Macaca fascicularis: one gene and its partner. The protein of the gene in region 2 purifies or fractionates together with the protein of the main gene of each other region. This does not show direct contact. Links are inferred from orthologs where the notes say so. Each region holds a gene or a part of one and is shown on either strand. Other genes may lie near its edges.

Evidence for each region. Proteins that work in one complex are often made in the same cells at the same time.
Region 1: the proteins of COPS7A (region 2) and DCAF11 purify together in Homo sapiens (affinity purification with mass spectrometry; 3 studies listed by BioGRID and IntAct, counting the BioPlex papers as one, with this or other methods). This does not show direct contact. The link is inferred for Macaca fascicularis from reciprocal best matches to the Homo sapiens genes COPS7A and DCAF11.

Annotation. Positions count from the first base shown.
Region 1 is NC_088381.1:91,936,356-91,939,937, reverse strand, and holds the end of DCAF11 (DDB1- and CUL4-associated factor 11), read right to left. Parts: coding exon 3,512-3,582; intron 3,140-3,511; coding exon 2,987-3,139; intron 1,587-2,986; coding exon 1,480-1,586; intron 1,382-1,479; coding exon 1,247-1,381; 3' UTR 523-1,246; downstream 1-522. UniProt on the Homo sapiens protein: May function as a substrate receptor for CUL4-DDB1 E3 ubiquitin-protein ligase complex.
Region 2 is NC_088385.1:7,643,658-7,647,408, reverse strand, and holds the start of COPS7A (COP9 signalosome complex subunit 7a), read right to left. Parts: upstream 2,197-3,751; 5' UTR 2,090-2,196; exon of another isoform or gene 1,992-2,089; intron 1,627-1,991; 5' UTR 1,584-1,626; coding exon 1,422-1,583; intron 1-1,421.

The sequences.
Region 1 (3,582 bases), on a different chromosome or scaffold from region 2:
GAACATCCCTGGATATGTGTACTATCATTTAAAAACTGCCTCAGAGGGCACGAAATGTTGTCGGGGAAGATCTATTCAGAGCTGGGTGTGAGCTCTAGCCCTCTCCCTGACTATCGGTTTGCTCTGGGGTATGAGGTTGAGTGTGAGGCGCCCACTGGGCCCTGGCATCAGGGCTGACTTGCTTCTCTCAGGCTCTGTGTTCATGGGCTACCTCTTCCAAAGACTGCACAGCTCCAGGCCCGGCTTCAGAGCAGAGGTGATGTGGTATTATCAGGCTCTGATGGAAAGTGTGCTCTCTCGGTATCTACTTGCAGGGAAGCTTCTGAAATTGGTGAGGGAGCACCTGTTGCAAGGCTCAGTGAACAAATGGTTTTGGTATTTCCCTTTTTCATGGGGCACCAGAAGGGTATTTTCTCCTACACAGGATCGCATCTGAAGACTGTTGAAACTGTGTTTTCCCGAAGTGAGATGGAAGATCTCAGATAGGAAAGAGACAGTGAGAGAGAGAGACAGACACTGAGCCAGGTTCCCACGCAGTTTATTGAGGGAGCCAAAGCCAGTGAGAGGACAAAGGAGTCCTACTTCAACCTACTTCCTTAAAGCTGTGTGCCTCGAGCATGAAGGGACCTTCTCAGAGGGCAGGACCTGCCCTATGAGGGGCCACACAGAGCCCTGTGGAGACTCCTACCTCTCATACCACAGCCCGTCCTACCCCAAAGACCCAGACATGAGAGCAGACATAATCCCCACCCCAGGAGGGTGCTGAGGAAACACCCTTACCCATGCCCCTCCCCTAGAGACCTCAGGAAGAAAGGCCAGGACACCTGTACTGTGTTTGGCCAGTCGAATCCTCAACGTGAAGACCTGGGCAACAGGCCTGGCTGACAGGTCTGTTCAGATGTGGCCTCAGACATCTACTCTAGAATCCAACCCCTAACACTCAAACATGATTAAAAACACCCAGGACACTTCTCTTGCTGGCAGAGGCCACACCCCAGATAATGGCAGTCCTGCCAAACTCTGGCCAGAGATAGGGACCCAGGCTGACTGGGTGTGAGCATGTAAGAAGACCACTCTGCCCCATGGGGAGGATCTTCCAGGGCTCAGCTGAGGCTCAGAGCCCGGGCTTCTGTTTCTCCCCATCCAATGCCAGTGATTCCTCCAAACATTCCCCACAAGGGAGAAAGGGAGGAGGAGGCAGAGAGCTTATCAAGAGGTTCACCCTGTATGGGGCTGGAGGTCGGATCTACTGGGGTGAGGAAAAGGCTGTAGAGGAGTGGGGCACTGGGGCAGGGGCGCTGGCACATTCCTCGGATTCTGGCATGTCATCCTGGAAGTACTCAGCCTGGCGGTACTGCCACAGACGCAGGTTCCCGTCCCACTGCAGGGCAGAGGGTGGCAAGTAGTCAGGAGGTGCTGCCCCCACCCCAAGTCCAAGCCCCAGACATGTGCCAGCACCCCCAACCCTTGCAACCTCACCGAACTGCTGACAATCTTCTCTTCAAAGGGGTGCCAACTGACATCACGCACACAGGCCTTGTGGTTCGTCAGCTTCTTCACAATGTGGCCACTGAGAAGGTCGTACACTGTCCAGGACAGGCAAGAGTGGAGAGGGACCACCACAAGACCTCTAAACTATCCCTCACCTCCCTGTGAGTAGCACCACTGACCTCTCAGGCAACTTCCCATGTTCCCATGGGAGCAAAGCCCACACGAGCAGACTGTGTTATTTCTGCTTCTATCCCTGTTCCTTTCCCTACCTTGGGTTGAGGGTGTGGTTTGTGTGGGTGTGGGTATTTCTGGCCCTTAGCTAAATTTCATAGGGGCTACAGTTAAGAAAATGCAGTGGCTTTAAAGATTTTAGTAAGATATGGAAGGCACCACAAAAGTGAACACCAAGCTGTCTGGGGGAGTGTGCACCTGCTGCACCTTGTCTGGACAGGGTGCATCTTTCTTTTGTTATGGGTCTGTGAGTGTCTCTCTGGGGATAGCACTGCCTTAGACTCCTTATATCTGCAGCTGTGCTTGTGGTTTTTTTCTTTCCTTTTCTTTTTCTTTTTTTTTTTTTTTTTTGAGACGGAGTCTCGCTCTTATTGCCCAGGCTGGAGTGCAGTGGCACGATCTCGGCTCACTGCAACCTCTGCCTCCCAGGTAGCTTGTGATTACTGGTGCCTGCCATCACCCCTGGCTAATTTTTGTATTTTTAATAGAGACGGGGCTTCACCATGTTGGCCAGGCTGGTCTCAAACCCCTAAGCTCAGGTGATCGCCTGCCTCAGCCTCCCAAAGTGCTGGGATTACAGGTGTGAGTCACTGTGCCCAACCTTTTTTTTTTTTGAGACAGTTTCTCACTCTGTCACCCAGGCTGAAGTGCGGTGGCACAATCATGGCTCACTGCAGGCTTGACCTCCTGGGCTCAGGTGATTCTCCCACCCTAGCTTCCCAAGTAGCTAGGACTACAGGCCTGTGCCACCACGTCCAGCCATTTTTTGTAGAGAAGAGGTTTCTCCATGTTGCCCTGGCTGGTCTCAAACTTCTAGGCTCAAGCGATCTGCCCTCATTGGCTTCCCAAAGCACTGGGATTATAGGCATGAGCCACTGCGCCCAGCTTATTTCTTTCTGTGCTTTTCTGCTTCAGCGATTGCATGTCCCTTTACTACTTGCTACCATCTTCCTGTGTCATTTTGTCTCTGTTCCCTCCTACCTTTCATCTGCAACCTCTTTCCTTGACTGGCTGAAAAACAGAACCAACTATATTTTTGGCAATCTATTATATTTACTGTCTAGAATTCTATGTTCCTTTTCTTAATTTAAAACACTGAAAAATAGAATGGTTTCTATTTCTCTGTTTAAGCCTCCAAGCTAAGTTAGATTTTACCTGTAGCCGTCACTGGGCTTTTTTAAGGTGGTCACTGGTCGTTATAGGTGGAACGGCAAGGAGTCATTCCTGCCCTTCCTGAGGCCCCCTGTTCTGACACAGTCCTTACCAACCACTTTGCCGGTGGAGCAGCCACTATAGATGAACTGCTGGCCGGTGCTATGAATGGGGGAGAACCGGCAGCGGATAAGGGTGTGCAGCACTCCGTGGCCCCGGTAGGTCATCAAGGAGCTGTCCCCTGGGAGCTTCAGCTTCCGCCAGGCTGGGTAGGGATGCAGAGTAAGCCCTAGGTTAGGGAATCTGCTTTGGGATTGTTTCGTACCAGCAGTCCTGAGCAAGGATCGATGCCCAGAGACAAATGCCTTTCCAACCTTCAAGTGGTGGCTCTTTCTCCACCTAATAGTCAGTGGACAGTCTCCAATATGGCCCTGCTGGTTAATCATTATACTCAAATACTTCGGTATTGTGGATTCTGAGTGACCCCCACCCAGGCCCCAATCCTAGGAACCTCTGGCCATTCCATTTGTGATTTAGCAAATAAAGAGTTAATGCCTGGTAAAGAGGGCTGAGGGGGAGATCCTCCAGGGCTCCAAGGCTACAGACAAATCCACTGTGCCTGTACCTCCATTCTCACCTTTTTTGGGCACTTGCTGCCAGCGATAGTCCCAGTTTTGCTGTGTGGCAGCCTGGCGTGAGGCTTCCATG
Region 2 (3,751 bases):
GATCTCCTGAACTCGTGATCCGCCCGTCTTGGCCTCCCAAAGTGCTGGGATTACAGGTTTGAGCCACCGCGCCCGGCCTTTTTTTTTTTTTTTTTTGAGACGGAGTCTCGCTCTGTCGCCCAGGCTGGAGTGCAGTGGCCGGATCTCAGCTCACTGCAAGCTCCGCCTCCCGGGTTTACGCCATTCTCCTGCCTCAGCCTCCCGAGTAGCTGGGACTACAGGCGCCGGCCACCTCGCCCGGCTAGTTTTTTGTATTTTTTAGTAGAGACGGGGTTTCACCGTGTTAGCCAGGATGGTCTCGATCTCCTGACCTCGTGACCCGCCCCTCTCGGCCTCCCAAAGTGCTGGGATTACAGGCTTGAGCCACTGCGCCCGGCCTCAGCTAATTTTTTGTATTTTTAGTAGAGATGGGGTTTCACCGTGTTAGACCGTCAGGATGGTCTCGATCTCCTGACCTTGTGATCCGCCTGCCTCAGCCTCCCAAAGTGCTGGGATTACAGGCGTGAGCCACTGCGCCCAGCCCTGTTTGTATTTTTAATAGAGACAGGGTTCTGCCATATTGGTTTCACCTCCTGACCTCAGGTGATCCACCTGCCTTGGCCTTCCAAAGTGCTGGGATTACAGGCGTGAGCCACTGCACCAGGCCAAGTGCTTCTTTTTCATCACCTTGATGGATACTCTTTAGTTCCACTGCAGATGAAAGCAGGGAAAAGTCAGCCAGTTTTCACCATATCACAGAGTGATCCAAAAGGTTAAACCACAGGCCCCACATAACTTAGCTCAGTTTACCCACATATCACTGTCAGCATGTCAGGACTCAGGCTGCCTCCTCTGTAAATTAACTCTGCCACTTTTGTGTGAATGGTTCTCTCTGCTGTGTTCCTAGTGTTTGCCATGTGTCTTTGGGAAAAAGACACATTCTCCCTTAGCTACCTTGAACAGATTAGCATATGCTGCACATAGGGAAGAATAGGGCATGCTAATTTAACATGTTCACTACCCACTTGTACCAGACTTTACACTTTCCCATAATCTCACTTTATTCCCACAACAGAGGGGGCAGTATTGTCTCCATTTTTAAAAAAGAGAGCTCAGGCCCTAAAACAAAAGTGACCTGATCAAGGTGACATGAGAATTAACAGCTATTACGCTGGTGGAGACGGGCTGGAAATCAGATTTCCTATTCTGAATAACATGCTCTTTTGCTTAAAATGAAAAACAGTGGACTTTACAGATCCTTTATCTCCAAAGGAAAGCTGGTTTGCTTGTTTACTGGTTACTTTTGCAAGTTGGCATTTAATCATCACTGTTTTCTTGTTCAACTGAATGGTATGGGATCACAAATTGAGCCCTGCCCACCCATTCTCAAATTCAAACCTTTGCCCATGCTTCTCTGTGGACTATTCAAGCCAGCAACCCACCTCTCTAACATTGGGCATGTCCAGCAGTTCTCCAAACACGTAGACACCAGGGGCCTCCAGCACCTGATGGATGAGTGTGGCCAGCGCTGCCCCCTTGGCCGACTTGGCTAGGAGCAGAAATTGCTCCTGGTTCTGCCCTGTCACCTTCACTTCCGCACTCATGACTGCACTGAGCTGGGGGCACCTGGGCTCAGGATGTCCAGAGCTGCAAGGAAAGAGAATGTGAAGCTAGAGATCCCCGATGGCTGGTAGGATGGGAAGCACAAGGCTGAAGGACTGGATTGTTATAGGTACTAAGTCGGTTCTGCGGTGAGGAATCACACATGGAGCGGTCTAGAATTCTGATCTACAAATCCTAAAGTCAGCCACTTCACAAGGCTGCCACACCCACCCCCTCCCCCGAGCCTAACCCCAAGCCCCATCATGTGCACCGCCACTGAACCCCAAGACAGGATGCAACGGAGAAAGGGGTGTCGCATGGTATCCACACTAACGACGACGCTCCCTCAGTTCTCCACTCCTGCCCCGCACGCGCCCACAACCACGTGACCTCACCCCAATGAAGCTTACACGTGGCTCCGCCCCCTCCCTTAAAGACACCGCCCAGCGACCGTGGGCTCCCGCCGACTGCTTCGTCGTACCCTGGGTCAGGCTCTGCGGGCCGCTACCTGGAAGCTTCGCCCTCCAGCGCACCGGGCGGGGCCGCCGCTCCGTCACCTCCGGCAGCTGTTCCAAGCCTTTCCTGCCACCTCCCTGAAGAGTCGCTCTGGCCACTAAACTCTATGGCGGGCTTCCGGCCGTACTTCCGCTCTAAGGACGCAAATTTCGGCAGGACATGCCCCGCCCCCGCGTTCCAACCGCTGAAGCTCCAGTGAGGGACGCAAGCATTCTACTCTCCGATTGGTCGCCGGGGGAAGAATGACGGGCGCCTTTTTAAATACTGTATTTCAATAAAACTTTATTAGTGGAAGATCGCTAGCCACTAAACACAGACGTCTTTGGCGGGTCCCCTGGTCTCGGCCGACTCTGTGTTTGTTCTAAGCCGCTGGAGAGCTGGAGATCAGGACTGCCCTGGGTGCCTGAGGCAAGAGAAAAGCTGTAATGGAATGAGTGAAGAAGCGGGAAAAAAACGGGATGGGGGAGTAAGGGGCAGAGAGGAAGTAAACAATAATCAATAATAGAAGTTTAGCAGCAGAGATCACCTAGGTCGTTCAACCACTCACTTTTTTGAAGAGCAGGAGAAAAGAAGTGAGAAGAGTAAAAGATAATAATTGCTAACATGTATTGAGTGCTTACTATTGGTCAGACATCTTTTAAAATTTTATTCCGTTGAATCCTCACAAATATTCCCAGTGTGACTTCAGGACACCCTCTACCATGATTACTATATATGTATTAATACTTGTAGAATGATGCTTTCAGTACATGGACTCTTAGTTTCTTGGGGCGGAAAAACCCCTATGTTACTCATTTTACAGAAAAGGAAATTGAGACTCATAAAAATCCAAGGATTTATCTGGAGCTTTTCAAACTCAAAACCATCTTTCTACTTCAACATACTTTAATAAAAACAAAAACAACTAACATTTATATAGTGTTTTATATTTCACAGCAGGCTTGCAGAAGGTCAAGTGAGGGTAAAGTTAATGACATCTTGGCCTTTGTGTTAAGCTACGAGCATTACTTAATTCATCTGATACAACAATCTAGTAATTGTTATCTCCACTTTCCAGATGGAAAAACTGAGACTCAGGAAAATTAAGAAACTTATAAGTAATGGAAAGACAAGAAAGTGAAAAAGAGAAAGATAAAGAGAAATAGAACTCGTAGTCTGTTAGGGCTAAAGGAACTGCAGATGCAGTTTATGGTCCACATATTTTGGTTTGTAATAGAAAATAAGCAGAAACACAGAAAGGAAAGGGAAAGGAGGAAGAGGAGAAGAAGAAATGAATGGAAAAGGTGAAACAAAAGTGAGAAGGAATCAAAGGCATAATAAAATATTAAAACTTTGAAGGAACCAAGGAATTAATGAGTCCAAACTTATTTTTTTTTTTGCATCCACCCCTCCCCGCCCAAGCTTATCTTTTCTTTTTTATTTTTTTTTTGAGCCAGGATTTCGCTCTTGCCACCCAGGCTGGAGTACAATGGCACAGTCTTGGCCCACTGAACCTCTGCCTCTTGGGCTCAAATGATTCTCCTGCTTTGGCCTCCCGAGTAGCTGGAATTATAGGCGTGCGCCACCATCTCCGGTTAATTTTTGTATTTTTAGTAGAGATGGGGTCCAAGCTTATTTTTAAAGAGAGAAGGGAAAAACATGTAAGATGAAAGAA